Linked DNA regions of Nothobranchius furzeri. The protein of the gene in region 2 purifies or fractionates together with the protein of the main gene of each other region. This does not show direct contact. Links are inferred from orthologs where the notes say so. Each region holds a gene or a part of one and is shown on either strand. Other genes may lie near its edges.

Evidence for each region.
Region 1: the proteins of ccdc97 (region 2) and sf3b5 purify together in Homo sapiens (affinity purification with mass spectrometry; 3 studies listed by BioGRID and IntAct, counting the BioPlex papers as one, with this or other methods). This does not show direct contact. The link is inferred for Nothobranchius furzeri from reciprocal best matches to the Homo sapiens genes CCDC97 and SF3B5.
Region 3: the proteins of ccdc97 (region 2) and sf3b6 purify together in Homo sapiens (affinity purification with mass spectrometry; 3 studies listed by BioGRID and IntAct, counting the BioPlex papers as one, with this or other methods). This does not show direct contact. The link is inferred for Nothobranchius furzeri from reciprocal best matches to the Homo sapiens genes CCDC97 and SF3B6.

The regions. Positions count from the first base shown.
Region 1 is NC_091752.1:24,289,567-24,295,492, reverse strand, and holds sf3b5 (splicing factor 3B subunit 5), read right to left. Parts: upstream 3,822-5,926; 5' UTR 3,709-3,821; intron 2,180-3,708; 5' UTR 2,165-2,179; coding exon 1,904-2,164; 3' UTR 1,618-1,903; downstream 1-1,617. UniProt on the Homo sapiens protein: Component of the 17S U2 SnRNP complex of the spliceosome, a large ribonucleoprotein complex that removes introns from transcribed pre-mRNAs.
Region 2 is NC_091752.1:64,456,023-64,462,268, reverse strand, and holds the start of ccdc97 (coiled-coil domain-containing protein 97), read right to left. Parts: upstream 3,722-6,246; 5' UTR 3,422-3,721; coding exon 3,257-3,421; intron 3,180-3,256; coding exon 3,015-3,179; intron 2,692-3,014; coding exon 2,532-2,691; intron 1-2,531. UniProt on the Homo sapiens protein: May play a role pre-mRNA splicing through the association with the splicing factor SF3B complex which is involved in branch-site recognition.
Region 3 is NC_091742.1:17,813,764-17,819,911, forward strand, and holds sf3b6 (splicing factor 3B subunit 6), read right to left. Parts: upstream 3,918-6,148; 5' UTR 3,799-3,917; coding exon 3,769-3,798; intron 3,311-3,768; coding exon 3,192-3,310; intron 937-3,191; coding exon 798-936; intron 689-797; coding exon 599-688; 3' UTR 333-598; downstream 1-332.

The DNA.
Region 1 (5,926 bases), about 40 Mb from region 2:
CCTCTGAGCTGCTATCTAAGTCTTATTACCGCTTGAAGTGGTAATCTGCACTTACAGACATAACTGTTTGCTAAAAAACATTTTGACATTTGCGAATGGAAAACAAGCTCTGAAATAATCTGGCATCTCTGCTAAATAAAACCAGAATGATGATGTGAAGTCACGCACACTGATCTGTGTGAACCCAGTGGGTGGGCAGCTGCCGACCGGTGTGTGTGTGAGAGGTTGTGTAGGTGGACAGCACTTTCTTGAATCTGACTGGCTGAACAAATGTTGAACTGTTGGTGAACATTTACTAAGCTTTAACTTAAAACAAGGGGTTATTAGCACTTTTTGAGCCTTAAATGCAGAATAATATTTGTGCACATTTCACAAAATCTCAGCATTTCCTGATGCAGCTCAGTTTGTAACGGTGCTGACAGCTCGTTATTAAGCGCCTGAATGTCAGTCGTATTCCTGGATTTTTATGATTACATCAATCTTTGACATTGGAGCCCAGTTCAGCCACTGGAAAAGTACTCTGATAGCATCAAGATTGTGACTTTCTAACTCATTATTATGAATTTAAAGTGAGTTGTATATTTACAAAGTCATATTTCACTTTTTTCAAGTCAGGACTTTTAATTTCATGAGTTTGCTTTTCATAATAATTAGTTTGCTTCCATTTTACTTTTCAAGTCTAATTTATGATTTCATGACTCACTCGATGTAAATTTTAAAGTCAACTATGACATCACAATATGTTGTAATTGTCTTTACATACTATTATGTAGAATCACAAACCTGTGACTTTGATCTTATTTAAGGAATTTATACTGCTTTTCTTTTCTTTATCCTGATTCATATTTTTGGTAATAAAAACATACTTATGACTTAATTTCTGAACTTTTTTCTCAATGGCAGTAACAGACCTCCATACGTTGTGCTTGTAAATTGATTTTCTTATCAATGGATTTCATAAACTATTGATTAAAGTTGTGTTTAATAAGAGGGAGTTTAAGTTACCAAAGAAGGTGAATTGTTTAAAGCAGGATTTAGCGGTTTTTCATGCACACAGCTGTCACATTTGTGTTTCTGAGGCAATTTAATTTAAAAATTCTAGCTTTTTGTGTGTCAGCAGTTCCCAGTTTTGTCTTGAAAAAGCAGGTCGGCTGGTTTTGAAAGCAGTCTTTTGGCAATTTTTAATAACATCATAAACCTGTGTTCTGTTGTTTTTAACACCGTTATTTTTTTTCTTCAACCACCTTTTGGTGGACTTTTCTAAATTTCACCCACTGATTTTTCAGATAATTTTCTTCCGTGAAATTTCCTACTGCAAATAAGCAGTTTCAGCATTTGAACCACAGTGCATCAGTTATTGTTGTAGTTGAGTAAAAGCATTTTGCTACAACTATAATAAAATAAAGATTATCTGCATTAAATTCTCTTTTTTTTCTTAATATTGCAGAAAAGTATTGGGTGTAGCTGAAAAACACCAGCATTTCAGAGTAAAAGGCTTCAAAAGGCTACCTGCCACCTATGAATGTTTATTCAAATAAACCCAAATCACATTCAATCCAAATGATGACAAATAAAAGTGTTGTGAAAGAATAGATGAATAGCTGGCTGTAAAATAAATAAGATTGTAGAAAAAGGTCAAATTTTAATGAATAAGCAAAACTTATCATGGGCACATTGTAATCATCAATCTCTTCAATCTCTTCACAGATAATTGTGCATCACTTAGACACATTTACCGTTCTTGTAAACATTGAGATCTTGAAATAATTTGTTTTGCCTCAGTGCTGTCCATATGCAAACAAAACTACTATAAATGGATGATCCAATTATTTTTGATAGGGTCAAACAGGATTTAATGGTAGAAAAAAGAATTTCCAGGGACAAAAGCTCACTCTGGAGTTATTTAAGCATCATCGGGCTTGTCTGCTGGGGGCCCACATGGCTGAAGCATCTTCTCCATCAAATTGAAGCGAACGCGGGCCTTGCTCTCATTCTCAGCCACGGAGAAGTAGTTTAGCAGGTCAAAGTGTCCCATGTAGGAGCAATATGAGTCACGATGTTGGTTGACCAGCCATTCCCACTTGCTGGTATCAGCATGTCCTGTGCCGATGTACTTTGATTGAAGATGTTCCAGCTGACTGTGGATGTTGTATCGGTCCGTCATTTTCACTCAAAGACTCTGGATGGGGAAAGGATAGAAAAACATCACCCGTGATGTTCTTTAAAATCATTTATATAAAAAAATTCTACATTTTCTAGAATATTAGGCTGATTCATTAGACGTTGTTCTTGTACAATGTTGTTTGTAAAGGTCAATCTTGTTTGATTCACCAGGGAAAGAAGTCCTTTAAGTTTTAAAATAAACTTGGGGTTTCATCAGTGTCCAGATGAAGATGTACTGTTATTCTTAAAAAGATAATGTGTGCATGCTGTACGTAATTCATGCTGGGATGCAAAAAGCATCACTTGTTTTTACTACATTGTGTCAGAACTCCATACACACATTAGCCTGTATGATGTTGTATAAGGCACATACTGAGCAGGTAAAGCTTTTTAAAATGCTGCTTTCTAGGGATGAACAATATATCAGCATCAATATCTGTATCGGCCGATGTTGGTCAATTTTTAACATATCGGCTCGATAAATAAAACCAGGCCGATATTTTTTCCATCTCGTCTCCATTTGTTCGCCTGTTTCAGAGGGTGAGGGGGGTGATGTGTAATTGTTTAGTCATGTGAACAGTGAATGAAATAATCTCAGACCCATAAATGTGTGTGTTGCGTGTACATAATGTAAATTCAGCTTTAATGTCAGCATATCTGTACCGGCAAATATCAGTTATCAGCCATAACAGTGAGCTCAATATCAGATATCGGTATCAGCCCAAAAATGTCATATCGGTGCATCACTACTGCTTTTCTACATGTTTTAACTTTTAGAACAGCTAAAAAGTTTCAGACTTTTTAACATTGATTTCCAACAATGGTGGAAAGAAGAAAAAAAACCTCCAGCTCAGTCTCTTTTTAATTTGGGTCAGACAAACAAAATAAACGAGTATTTGCAGCTAATCGTAGCAGCAAAAGCTACTTCTTAACAGTATTGATACTATTTATTGACACAATCAGCAGATCGCATGCGCTTTTGATTTAGCAAAAGAAAAGACAACACAAACGCAACAACAAAACCTTAGAAGGTCCCAGGACTAAGTACTGATAACGCAACGTGTGGGTGACTACTTTAATCTGGATGTATGGTGACAACTAGGGAAAAAGACAGAATTAAAGCTTAAAAACTACCACTCCAACATTAAACATCCCAAAAAGACTATTATTTAAAGCAAAATACAAACGAACATTTCAAATATATTGGAAAGGCTAACGATGTTAGCAAAGTTATCTAATTCGTTCATGCAGTGTATTTTTCCACTGCATTCGAATCCTTAATCGCCGTTATTTATGTGAGTTTTATCCAAATGATCAACATTGACATATTAACAAACAAAATACAATTCCAAATATTCGGTCGTTGCCCTTTATTTACACATTTTCTTTGTTGGACAACGTTTGATCTTCCACTCTTTATGCTAACAGTAGCTTAGCTTAGCTAGTCGGTCTTCGTGTAATAAAAGTCTAAATTTAGGCTCCCCTGGAGGGCAAATAATAGCTTCAGCTTCACATCAATTGGTTTTAAAAGAACAAAACACTTACGTAATGTGTACAGAGATCAAGAACTAAAACAAAACAGGTAAATTAATTCTGAGTCGTTCAGGCACTGACAAACGACCACTGCCGGCGCGTTACCCTATGAAATGATCCGGGTAGGAACAAATGTCGTACTGTTCTGATTCCGCTCCATTGGTCAAAGTGTACTTCTTACTCACTCAAAGAAAGTTTTTTTTTTTTTTTTTTTTTAGAAAATCTGGGTACATTAAATACAGTTATTATTTTCTTTGGTTTATTTGTAGGTTAATTGAAAATAGGTTGTGTCTATGTTGCAATCTTTTCTTTTTTATGTTTTAAATTCGTGTGTAGCCTCTATCATCATTCCACACCATTCAAGGGAATACGTCCATTGTTTTTCTTATGCTTCTAAAAACAAATAGTACTACTTGGTCTTCTTCCAAATAAATAGACTGCAGTATTTATTGGCTTTTTCTAAGGATATAAATATGCAAGTGTCTGCAGCAATCATTAGAGTACCTGTGCAGTGAGATAAACTTTTCATCAAAACTGATGTATTCATGTTGTTTTAAAACATTTATCTTAAAACAAATAATCACAGTACAATTTTTCAAATTGCCACATCGAGACTAAATTGCTCAGAATTGCTTAGCACTGGGCTCTCCTGTGGCTGGTATAATGAAATTTTTTCTGTGGATAATGTGTTTGATGATGTTCTGCATTGAGCATGTTTGCTGCCTGTAGAGTTATGACCCTAATTTTCCATCTACCAGCTGTTGCTAATGGCAACCATGATTGGGACAGAAAAATATGAAAATATGGTTAGATTTGGGTTCAGAAATGTTTTGAAATATTTGTTAAAAATTACTCACCTATGATCTTGACTGCTTTTCCTCACTAGGGTCAAAGGGAGCAGTCTTTCCCCAGCAGTCATTAGCAAAGTACACCCTGGACAGGCCACAAGATATCACAGGGACACTGGGACAAACAAACTACCACGTTATGGTAGAGTCGCGTTGTTGTTATCCAACGTGGATGTTTTGTCTCTACAGATAGCACAAGCCTGGAGGAGCTTCTGCTGTGTGGTGGGGTTGCTAATGCTAATGGTCAGTGTTGGGAAAGTTACTTTTAAAAAGTAATTAGGTATAGTTACTGATCACGTCGTTGTCCAAAAAGTAACTAAAAGTAACTAATCACCAAGAAAAATAAACATTTTGTTACCTTTTTTTTCACTAAAGAATGCAAGAAAAATGGGTTCCCCTCTTGATTAAACTTACTTAATTTACTATAAATTACTACAATACTGAAATATAAATGACTAATGACTGGAACATAATAAAATGTATGTCAAAATGTTTTTTTTTTATCAAACTGAATAATTGAAACAGATGGGCACTTAACAGGAGGAACTACAAACAGGAACATTACATTAATCAAGACTATTAAAATGTCACTGTGTGATATTTAACAAGACCCCAATCAGCTCAAAATTATAATTGCAAATATAAACAACTGTAAAGGTTCCTGAGCCTTTAAATGGTCTCTCAGTATAGTGAAATTCCTGAAATAAAAGTAATTTTGCACAGCATTCTAATTTTTCCTGCTTCACATAATTGTGTGTTATTAGTAGCATTTCTGTTGCTGGTAATCTAGTAATGGTGAAATAAATAAACAAACAAATATCCTTTAAAATGACACTAGAAGAGGCACAAATCTGATGGAGGACTTAAATGTACTAACATGGGTAAGACCCAAACACAGAAGAGCTGAAGGTGGGTGGTAAAGACGCACAGGAAGTTCTAATAACACCTGAGCTCCATGATGTCTGAGACTGATGCATCAGTGTTACAGCAGGACTAAAGACATGATCAGAAACAGGTTACAGTTGGATGATCTAGGAAGGTAGAAGATCGTGATGTCTGAGTGGTGAACAGATGAGTGGACCTTCGGGACGTTCCGCTGTCACGCCAAGAAGGGCACGGCTGCAGCAGCGAATCTGCGGGTCTGCAGCCGTAGACTATTCATCACGTCTTCCTTGTTCTTCATGGGCCGTGATGCACTTGGATGAAAACATGCGCCTCTTTAGCTCCCAATCAGCTGATGGCAGCTTCAACACACCACGCTGCTGAATTAGTAACACACGCATTTTCTTATCAGTAACGGAAACGGCGTTATGATAAAAGAAGACGATAATTAATTAGATAACTCTTTACTGAAAAAATATTTTTTAGTAACACTGTTATTC
Region 2 (6,246 bases):
AATAAAGGGGCATTAATGACATGCATTCCTGACGTGGTGAACGCATGAGTTCATAACAGCTTTTTTTGTGTTGCACTTGAAATGAAGCTTTTAAACAAGTCTGACCTGGATGTTCCTACAGGTCCAAACTCTAGCCTACACCTAGCTCTGTGAAACTGGTTTAGAAAAAATGTGTTAGTTGATATAAAACACTTTCTTTAATACCGTCCAATCAGGGTTTCCATCACAGCGCAGAAAAGAGACTGCACTCGTAAACATTTTAAATTAGGTCTAGCTTAAAGACCAAGTTCACCAGTTTTTTTTAACACATCTGCAGAGGTCTGGTAAGAATAAATGCCTTGTGAGTCAAAATCTGTGGAAAAAAAAGCTCTGGCGCTCCTGTTTCAGGAAGTAGAAGTAAGTCGGAGGAGATGGAAGCAGAAAACAGCAGGATTAGGAGTTTTACTCATTAATATTCATGCTATGATGACTTCTCACCTCTGATTGGCTAACAGCAACACGACTCTTCCACTGCCTCTGTCTTCTTTGCAATGCTAATGTTTTATTTCCACAAATAACACAAGTCTGAAGGAGGAGTGCTGCTGTGCTGTGGAGTTGCTAACGCTAACGATCAGCTTCTACTATCGGAGATGTGCTCTACTCTCTCCTGGACGCTAAACCAACAATCGTCTGCAGGCGTGAACCAAGATGGGTGAGTCCATGAATGCTAATTTATAATGTGATGTAGATCTGGGTCACTTCTCCGTGAGTGTTCCCTCATCTATCATCTATCAGCAGCTAATGCAGAAGATAGGGTTAGTAGACTTTTTTCACGTTTAGCCTGCATGAGAAACTCAGACTGACTGATTGTATCGCACAAATCACAAATAAAAATGGTTTCTCAGTGAACTTGGTTCTCAAAAATGACCCATCAAAAACATCTGCCTTGGTTTAATTGGTTCTTAGTGCTGCTGCTTATTACATTATCAGTTTGGAAAATATAAATCAGAGCAAACAAATGTCACACGTGGGGTTCCTCAGGGCTCAGTTCTCGGGCCATTATCCACATGCTCCCTTTAGCTCAGATTAAAGTATTAAAACATCTCTTATCTTCTCGTGCTGACTCACAGTTCTACATTTCTGAATCATCACATGAAGTAAAATCATTTCATTGTTTTATTCTATTTATTTGGTGTCGTTTATTAATATGCTGTAAAGTACTTTGAGATGTCCTGTATGAATGGTAAAGTAAAAATAAGCCCTGATGAGATAAAACATCAAATAGTTCCCATTCTTACCATCAATAATAACATAAAAATCAAAGAAAATATAAGATTTTTGCATTTGCGTGTTCTGTGTTGCCTAAACGTATTTGGCAGTAAAACGACATCATGCTTAGACCCACATGCATGTGCCTCTTCTACAGCTGAAACAGTGGAGTAGGGCTGCTCAATTAATCAAATTTTAATCACAATTACGATCTGAGTTTAGAATGATTATGAAAACAAAACAGGCCGATTATTTGCTCCTCCCACTTGCGCTGCCCTGAGTTGCAAATGAAGCGCTCCTCCCACAGTGTTGCCAGCTTGGCGACTTTGACGCTATTTCCAGCAGCTTTTCAGACCCACTTCTTGACTTTTTAAATCTTAAAAGTACCTAGCGAACACCTCAGAAACATCTCCGGTAACCCTTAGCTACTTTCTGGATAACTGTTGTTGATATTTCCTGCAGGTTAGCTAAACACTCCGCCTGCGCTCCGGACCGTTCTTCACAACATTAGGAAAGGGAATGATGTAGTGATGTGTCAGTCGCTACAGAAACGGCTCTCGGAGCCGGCTCCCTGTTGGATTAACCAGAGTGAGTGACACACACACCGCACCTGCGGACTCCTGAGCCACTAAAAACGGCGTAATGTGCACGTGCGGCGTACTAAACACACGTGCAGCTTGCCCCGATTGCTGTGAGACCGGGTTGGGGGGTGGGGGGTGCAGCTGTGGTTGGGACAATTATTACATTAACTGATGGACTTGTAAATAAATAGTTTATAAATAAGGTAGAAATAAGTTCCTCACGCTGATAAATAATAACTAATCTCTCTGAGGACACGGTGCTAGTGCACTCTCCTACAGCACCTTGACATGACTAAATAAATGCTATGCAACATTTTGTGAACATCAATTTATTTGCATTTATTTGTTATAAATGCCACTGTATAATTCTTGCTGTCAGTATTTGCAAGATGTTAGTATTTGGGTCTGTACTGGTTAGACTTAAATGAGTTAAACCAAGGTCTACAGCCCTTGGGTCATAAACTATGAGCTATAAGTATATTAGTCTTTTTATACTGGGAATCAGGAGTTATTTTAGTGATCATCTTGTGTCTTATTTATTTTTGTCCTGATTGTGCCCTGAGCAATTTTATGACTGAATAAAAACAAATAAAATCAACATAAATTGAAAAATCGTCCTAAATAATCGAGATCTCAATTTCAGTCACAAAAATCGTGATCATTGTTTTTGCCATAATCGAGCAGCCCTACAGTGGAGTCTACCTTTCTGTAGAGCCCTGAGAGCAGCATAACGCTGGTTTCTGACTCTGGTTCTGTTGATGCAGCCGGACGCTCGCGACTGGACCACACCGCTGTAGTGCTGAGCTCTCGGGTCAGCGCAGACATGGACAAATGCAGGAAGGTGCTCGGGCTGCAAATGGGTCTGAAAGGGAGGACAGGAGAAAACAAGCGAGTCAGGATGCATTATCACAGTGAGGTTGTTTTTAAAAGGGAAATGCTTTCTTCCTGTGTGTTTGAGATCAGCAGAGCCACTTGATCTACCTGGTTCTCCATAAATACAAAAGAGCAATAAACCAGTTATACAGGTGTGTGTGTGTGTGTGTGTGTGTGTTACAGTGAAGTGGACAATAACCCCAACTATGACAACCTGGATTTAGTTAATAGAGTTGCTGAGGATAAATATTTTGATGAGGATGACACGGAGGAAGAAGATAAAATGTGTGTGTGCGTGCGTGTGTCACTCACATGGTACCGCTCCAGGAACACCAGCGGTCTGCTCCGGTACTGCTCCCGCAGCTCCTGCTTTCTCTCCCCGACCGTCAGCTCCGCCTCACCGACCTGCTGGCTCTTCACCGGGCTGCCGCTCATCGCTACCGCCTCTATCATCGCGGCCACACAGCTGGACTCCGCCTTCAAACCCAAACACAAACGTCAGAGCAGCAGAATAAAGCACAACACCTTCCCAGAGTTTATGGGTGTGTTCCCACCGCCGACTCTTCCCGTGGAGCTTCCTGGGGGTCCGTGCAAGGGGCCCGGTTCTGTTCGTATCTCCACGGTGGCGCGGCGGGTTCCTCTGAAGCTTCACTCCGGTTCTCACTCTCCAACAACAGACTCGGCTGCGGCCTAACGGGGGGGTCAATCTCACCCCACATGGCTACAGGTGTTGATCTGGACACGAACGTGAATCCAGTAGCTTTGGACGTCTTCAGCTTAACGTTCCGTCCCTTTTCAGGTTATTTTGATGCCAACGTCAAGTCACGAAGCGAAATGTCACCGTACAGACGCAATACGTTTGTAATAACTGGATTATGTCAGTTCTCAAACGGCCTTTTCTCAGTAATTCAGCAAAATGTTTACATGCCACGTAGGTCCGTCACAATTACAGCTCCCCTTCCCCGCAGCTGGAAAAAAGGTTCCTACGGGATCGGTTTACCAGGCCGAAATATTCTGTTTTGTCGCCATCTAGCGGCGGAGTGGTGACTGTCATGATGAACAAAAACAACTATCAGAATCAGAAGGTTTTATTGCGATAAATGCTAGATTTGGCGCAAAAGAAGAACAAAATTAAGAGATATAGAGATTACTAATATACTCATGATAAAATATTTAATATAATGTGGCAATAATTAGAGAAGCGGCTACTATACACAGTGCAGGTACTAGAATTCAGGTACAAACACAATTGTGACTGGAACCAAGCGGCTGGAGTGGGCAGTCCTAGGATTGTTGTTCATGAGTCTGTGAAAAGAGGGGAAGAAACTGTTCTTGTGGCGAGAGGTTCTGGTCCGAATGCATCTGAGTCTCCTGCCAGATGGGAGAGAGTCAAAGAGACTGTGTCCAGGGTGACACGGGCCAGCTGTGATGCAACCTGCACGCCTCAGTGTCCTGGAGGTGTACAGGTCCTGCATGGAGGGGAGTTTGCAGCCAATTACCTTCTCAGCAGAGCGTAGCATAACATGCTGCAGCTTCTCCTTGTTCCTGGTGGTAGCTCCTGCATACCACACTGTGATTGAGGAGGTGAGGGTGGACTCAATGACTGCTGTGTAGAACTGCCTCATCGACTGTGCTGATAGGTTGAATTTCTCTGGGCCTTTTTGTGCTGGAGGTGATGGTGGGCTCCCACTGGAGGTCCTGATGGTGGAAGCGAAAGCTAAATGAGGCCACCATCGTGATGGTGTGTATATAAGCGTTTATATGTAACACAGACTGCCCCCCTTCCTTCAGGCAGAAGACTGAGCCGAATCAAAGGCAGAAGATCAGATTTGGAAAAAGAAGCTGAGACTTTTAAATAATTAGATTTTTTTCACTGGGTGCAAAATATAAAGAAATCGGAACTGAATCAAAACTTTAGCACAGTACTGCAACCTGAACCTTCTTCAAACATCGAGTGGTTGCTTATTGCTCATCTTTTCTTTTAAGGTTTGGTTTGTTTTTCTCCAGTTAGTTTTCCTTTTTGCCTCTAAGGTCTACTTCCACCAGTTTATGTAAAGTCCCAAGCTTTTACGTCCTTGTTCTAGTTTGCATGGCGTGTTTTCTCAAGTCCTGTAAAGTTGTTAAACCAATTTCTCCTGATAATAATTCTGACTTTGTAACTGCACTTCCTCCGTGAGTTTCAGTGATAAATTTACATCTGCGTTAGCAGAAACCTCAGATAAGAAGCCCTTTGCGATTCTTTTCTCCACCTCAGAGGAGCTAAAACAAAGCCTTCTGCGTAAACTCGTCTTTTCACGAGAACAGGACAAATCTGTTGATTAACACAACAGCTGATGGAGTTTTACTCTGACCTACAGGAGCAGCGCCTCTGGCCCTCTCAAGCTGTGACTAAAGAGCGACATCATGTGGTCACGGTATGTTACTGCAATCGGAAGGCTTTCATCGAGAATAAAAACTAGATGATTTTATGCAACATTTAAGAACTATTAATAATAAAGAACATTTAACAAGAGCAATGGATTAAGGTTAATCTCACCACGGACTAACCCTTTAACTGGCTGGTCCTTTTATTTTGAAGGATGCACTGAAAAACATTAAAAGAAAAAATCAAATCAGAAAAACATACAAAAAAATGAACCAAAAATCTGATGTGAAGATCTCAGAATGGACCGTTCTTTACAAAAGATCTCCAGTTTATTCAGATTTGATGGCTTCTGACCATGGCCAGCTCTCTTTAACTCACACCACACCTTTTCAAATTTAAATGAGGGCCCAGGAGTCGACCGAGAGCACGAGCAAGCCCAAATGCAGATCAAAGTCGGGGTTTAGCTGTCGGAGGTCGTAGGTTGGGAAGAGGAGGTAGAGGCAGACAGACCAGAGATGCTGTGGAAGAAAGAAGAATCCAGAACCTCAGAAAAGACAGGGGGGCTCAGAAGTTTGGCACCGTTATTTATATAAGTACCTGAATTGATCATGATGTATAAACTTAGTGGGGTGTGAAATCGTTTGTTGTTACGATAAAAAATGCCAGTTAAACATATCCTGTAGGAGACACACACAGTGATATCTGAGAAGTTAAACCAAGTTATAGGTTTTACAGAAAGTGTAATTGTTTCATCCAAATTAGACAGATGCATAAATGTTACACTTCCTGTAGCTTCTAATGCAGGGGTGTCAAATTTGCGGCCCGCGGGCCACATCCGGCCCGCAAGCGGGTTAAATCCGGCCCGCGAGATGGTTGTGTAAACTTTATTTTCATACTTTACGATGTAGAGTGAAAATAAACGTATCTTTGTGAGCAAGTTTCCTCTGTAATGAGTATAAATAAAACAAAGCTGCACGCAAGGCTCATACAAGAATTTGAATCACATCCTGAAGTTGGCCGCCACTCAGGATGTGACTTGATATCGATGTGCTGGTGAAAGCTAAAAGATGTAAAGTAAAATGAGTCAAATATACTTTAAGTGCTGCATGAAACTGCTCTAGCCATGTGACCTGTTAGCTCTTTGAATCACTAAGGAATGTTTTTTTTAATTTATTGATT
Region 3 (6,148 bases), on a different chromosome or scaffold from region 2:
ACGGAAAACTAAAAAAAAGTCTGATATCATTTTAAAACGTACACCTTACTAGGACTGGGTTGGACCCACTTTAGCCTTCAGCATTTCTGAGGTTCCGGTCCATCCCAACATTACAGCATCGGCTCCAACCATAAGAACCTCCACAAAGGTTCTGGACCGGACTGAGATCTGGAGACTGTGGCGACTGCTGGAGTCCAGTGACCTCATGGTCAAGTTCTAGAAACCAGTTCGAGATGACTCGAGCGTTGTGACACGGTGCATGTCAGACTTTCTCTAGGAAATAAAAACCTGCTGGATGATTCAGATGTGAGGTTTGGAAAACGCTGGGGAGCTTTAGAAAAAGGAGCATTTATTTTACAGGAATGATAAACTTTACACAGCAGTATGTTTAAATAAAAAGTTTGTCTAAATGATGGGTCGGTAGGACAAAGTCACAATAAAAGCCCGAAGCTGCTGTTCTGGACTGGACTAACACCACAGTCCTGCATGTTGGGCCAGATGATTAAAGGGGGAAATGAGTCATCTTAATAAGCCAATAATTGACAGAAAAGTTAATAAAGAACGTCTCTGAAGGTGAACGAAGGCGGATTAGGTGACTCTACTTTGGAGGGTCTGTGTTGATTCCATATTTCTCTTTCAGAAGCTTCAGCTGCTCTTCTTTCTTCTTGGTGTCCATCTTCTGGAAAGCCTGTGCACCAAAAACAGAAAACTTAGTTTTAACCTCTTAACTTCAAACTGCTGAGTCTTCTTTTGGTGCAACCCTGACAGCCCGTGTGTGCTCCATAACTCGTACGTACTCGGTTTGCGTTGTAGTAAAGAACCACCAGGTAACGGTTGCAGACGTTGAAGCCTGAAAGGTGGTCGCAGGCGTTCTTGGCATCGAAGATGTCTTCGTACACAACATAAGCTGTTCCTCTTGTTTCAGGCGTGTTCCCTCTGAGGCAGAAATAGAGCAGAGATAGCAGAATATTAACCAGGATGACTCTGTGGCTGCAAACGCCGGTTTTTGCTTTCTTATCACCATTTTACACACCCAGCACCACAGGTGTGCAGGTAAGAGTGAGCCTGGCAGCTGCAACGTGGGTGCAGTCTTGGTAATGCTCATCGCAGCCACACACTTTCTAAACTATTTGAATAATAAGGAATGAGACTATTACTAAACATATTTGTAGTAATAACATGTTTCTGATCAATATTCTTCCTGAATGGTTTCAGCAGCTCAACTGAGGAAATGACATGGAAACAGGAAGTTGTGTCTTTTTAAAAGACGAGTTTCTCTAGCCGTTTAGACAGATAACGTTTCTATTCCGTTCCAACTTACAAATAAATAATAAAAATACCTAAAATGGAAAACTTGGATGTTTTCTACTTTTTCCTTAATTTAATGGATTGCTGAAATATTGGATTGGGACTCTGTATCTAAATCACATGACACGGATTGAGGGAAAAAGATCATTTTTGACTTTTTTTTTTTTTTGGTACCACCTCACAGAATAACAGAAGGACGTGCTGGGTCCCAGACCCAAAGCAGGGCTCTCACACACGCGACTAGCATAAAAGTTTCAAAGTTAAAGTAGGTCTACTCCACACCGAAGCCAGAGGACACCGCCTGGATATTAGGAGGAGTCTGCTGCTCACACACCGGTGTTACAGAAAGGAGCCGACCCTCTTGAAGCAGCAGCAGCCATGTTTATTAAAGGTGAACTGATCGCTCTCTAGTTTTTGTTGTTAACAAAAATAACAAATTTTGTTTTTCCATCAAACTATCTTAGCTGATCCATCCATCCATTTCTGGCCGCTTATCCAGGGTCGGGTCACGGGGCAGCAGCCTAAGCAGGGAGGCACAGACTTCCCTCCACAGCTCCTGCAGGGGAATCCCAAGGTGTTCCCTGGTCAGCTGAGAGACGTAGTCCCTCCAGCGCATCCTGGGTCTTCCTTTAGGTTAGAGATGGGCGATATGGCTCAAAATCAATATCACGATATATTGAGGATTTCACCTCGATAACGATAAATGGACGATAACTACAGGTATGCGCAGTAGAGCTGTAGCGATGCATCGATGACGTCGACGGCTCGATTCTAAAAATTCGTCGACGTCAGATCCGGTGGTCGACGCACCACGCCCACTTGTTGCATCCCCAGGAGTTTGTAAATAGAGGTGGAACCTGCCTGTTTTTCCTCTAGTCCACCCTCTTCTCCGCCTTCACTAACATCTCCACCAAATACCGAAGACCCAGAACAATGTCCGTCCGCTACTAGATTCCTTTCCTGTTTTGCCCGCCTTCGTCTCCTGGCAACGGGCAACAACTTCCGGGGTCAGATGCGCAGCTCCGTCTCTACTGTGTAAAAAACTTCTAAACCGAGTTTCTGTTATGCTTCTCTAAACATTGGTTCATGGGAGTCTCTAACCTGCAATTTGCTCTTTAAGGGATTTGTCATGTAATTTGTGTCAACAAACCAATCAACTCCAGGCAGAAACAACGTCCATGAAGGTGGCTCCTTTTCTGTGTTCATCTCTTTTCAGGCTAAAGACCAAAGGTGACAGATCATCTGCTGCTGTGGCCCCTAGACTCTGGAGCTCTCTCCCTCTGAGCCTGAGATCAGTGGACTCGGTGGTCTCCTATGAAAAGCAGCTAAAAACTCACCAGTTCAAGCTGGCTTTGGTGTGACCTTCGTCACCACCCTCTCCCTATTCGGCTCTTTCTACGTATTCCGCCTTTCCCAGCAATCCACTCATTTCCCTCTTTCCTATTCATTTTCTCTCTCCCATTCCTTACATTATTATTTTTAATCACAATTTACTTATCTTCATTTTAAACATATTTTTAATCGTTTTTTGACATCTTTCTAGTTGTTTTGTTTGTGAAGCGCCTTGTGATTTTTATTTTGAGAGGCGCTACGTAAAAGATCGTTTTCTTTCTGTCTTTGCTGCTTTCTCTACGACTCTTAACTGTTACTTCAACGTGAGCTCTCTAAATACACTTAAACCTGTTTTACTTACATTTGTTTTATTTATGTTTACCGTGAAGCGATGTGTGGCTTTTATCCTGTGAAGGCTGCTTTAAATGCAGAGTTGGCTTTGTTACATAAAATTTTCTTTTACTCTGAAAATGACTTCATAATAACACACACACACACACACACACACACACACACACACACACACACACACACACTTTTTGAAAACTTACGTTCGGATCTGTCGTATTGGTCCGTATTTTCCAAAGATATCGTACATCTCCTCAGCTGTGATCTTATAGGGGAGATTCCTTATATACAGGATTCTGTTCACCTCAGGAGGTAATCGGATCTACAACACCATTAAAACACATCATTAAACTATTCAGAGGGAACAAAACTAACCTGGGTAAAAACTCAAATACCTGATACATAAGTACACACGATTACTAGCTGAGGCCTTTTAAGACTACGTAAGTCACTTAACAATAGACATGGCTACTTTTAATCATTACATGCATTAGCTTATCCTTGTTTCCGTACCGGAAGGAACAAATATTCTTAGCCTGACGATATCCCAACGAGGATTATGTCTTCACAAAACAAAAGATGAAAAAACACATGACCTCAAATGGTAAGTATAACTAAAGTGAATATAAAGCTTGAAGATTTCAGGTTTTGAGGACTGTTTTCAATTTGCTAACCTGCTAGTAGTGCGCTAATTCTTTGAGACGCTTCCTCAGAGCTAAACCTAGCTTACATTTCACATTAGCCTTTCCTTTGTCCCCTTATATGCTCCATTACACTTACATTAGCACGTTTTGCTGCTTGCATAGCCATCGTAACGATTTAATTCGTGTAAATAACGCAGATAAACAACAAACACGCTGTTTTCACTTCAAAATGGAGGCTACGGTAAAAATATATCGAACTTCCGGTTTGGAATTAGGCTACAGATACATCCTTATAACGGTGCTGCCCTCTAGCGGCGGACAAGAACCTCAACCAGCCTGGAACAATTATCCTAACTATAGAAAAATGACATTCTTACAGAAATGCTATTTGAATACTGGCTGCTGAGGCTGATAACTGAAGATGCATAAGAACTGAACAGAACCTATACTTAAGCTCAACTCAGTAAAAAAATCCCAGAGTTTCTTTCAATATAATGAATACGAATAAAATAACATTTAAAACTGTATAGCAAACAAGTGTTAGTGCACTTTTTTTAAAACATGAAAAAATATTTAGGCTAAAATGTTCTTCTCGCTCTTCATACCAGTTGGTTCCAGAATTGAAGGGAGCACTATTTCCATTCCATTTTATTTTTAAAGCACATTTTTACAGGGCCGAGGCCAACCAAAGTGCTGCACAGTAAATGAGCATAAAAATCAACACACTGGAAGAAGTAATAAAAGTAGTACAGTAACTACTATAAAATCAATAAAGACAAAACAAAAACATCGTAAAATGCTAGCTAGGCTGAAGTAAAAGCTAAGGAATAAAAATGAGCCGTCACTGCTAGAGACGAGGCGCACAGACTGAGAAGGCTCGTTCTCCTTGCGTCCTCACCCGAACTCTTGGGACCTGTAACAGGTCTGCTGACCAAAGAATTCGACCAGGTACGTAGGGCTGAACCAGCTGAGTCAAGTAGAGAGGAGCATAAAGATAGAGTTACTTAAAAACAAGAAGTAAAAATTTAAATTGGATGCGGTAGCACACCTGGAGACTATTCCCTATTCGAGTAATTTGAGCATCAATCAGGTTTTTTCAGCACCTTTAATTTTAATATTTATAAAAAACAAAACACTGATACTGCAACTAATTTTCCTCTGAAACCTCAGCAGACTTTTTAAAAGCCTTTTTTATGCACAAACGAAACAACTGAATTAGAAAAAGGGAAAAGAAAAAGGTTATTGCCATGGTAACGGATGTTGCAGCACTGGCTTATGCTGGGCTTCACTCAAACAGGCACTAAGGTGAAGCTTGGGAGATGAACATCACATCTGGTCTTCACCGAGGCCGTGACCAGGTGTAAATCACATGAACAATGCATCTTTAACACTGCTCTGACTCAACTCTGTCCCCTAAAGACTCTAACCCCCCCAGCAAGACCACGTGAAACACCTAAAAAAGGACACCTTGGTAAATGTGCACACTACATTCAGTAGGAAAACAGTCCTTTCTACCATCAGAAACCGCCTGCATAGCAGCAACATCAGGACCAAGTCCTTTCTAATGTCACGTTTTGAGGATGTTTAGGACACAAATATGCAGAAACCCAGGATGACACGAGGCTGGAGATGATGTAAAGTAAATATGCTTTATTTTGTAGAACGAACAAAAATAAATCCAAAGGCAGTGAGCCAAAAGTCCAAAAATCCAAAAACCCTGGTAACAAAAACAAAAGCTCACTGAGAGCACCAAAACCTGGAGACATAAGCTCAACTAGAGCATAAAACAACGCTGACAAACATACAATGGACCGACAACAACACAGGGACAAGACAGGGCTTATATAGACTGGGAAGATGAGAGGGAGATGAATTGCAGGTGTGTGGGGAGAGGGACCAGGTGAACACAATTACTAAATCAGGGAGGAGGAAGAAAACACTGGTGGGAAAAACACACTAAATACTGAGGCCCTGTCCACACGTAGCCGGGGATCTGCCAAAACGTAGATATTTTTCTACGTTTTGGCCTGTCATCCACACGAAAACGGATCTTTTTAAAAACTCCGGCCAAAGTGAAGATCTGCGTTTTCTCCGTTTTGGGTGTCTGCGTGTGGACGGACAAAACCGGAGTTTTAAGGTCCGCAACGTCACTTTCCGCGACAAAAAATGCTGACATCACGTGTGCGACCTGTGTTTACACTAGCCGACAGCATGGATGCCCTCAGAGCTGCGCTCGCTTCATCAATTGTCCAAGCGCTTTTTGCTTGTTTGTTTTTGCAAGCGGAATTACTGCTCCTTGCGGAAGACCACAGACGAAGGACGAGGTTAAGAACGGGGGAAGTACTGCCGCCTACAGGTCTGGCATGTCCTTAACAACGTATTTATCCGGGTACGTGTGGACAGTTTTTTTTTAAACGAGGTGGTGTGGATGCAAGTTTTTGGGGGGCGGATATTCGTTTAAAAAAAAAAACCCGGCTACGTGTGGACTAGGCCTGAAAGGCTGTAACAAAGGAAAA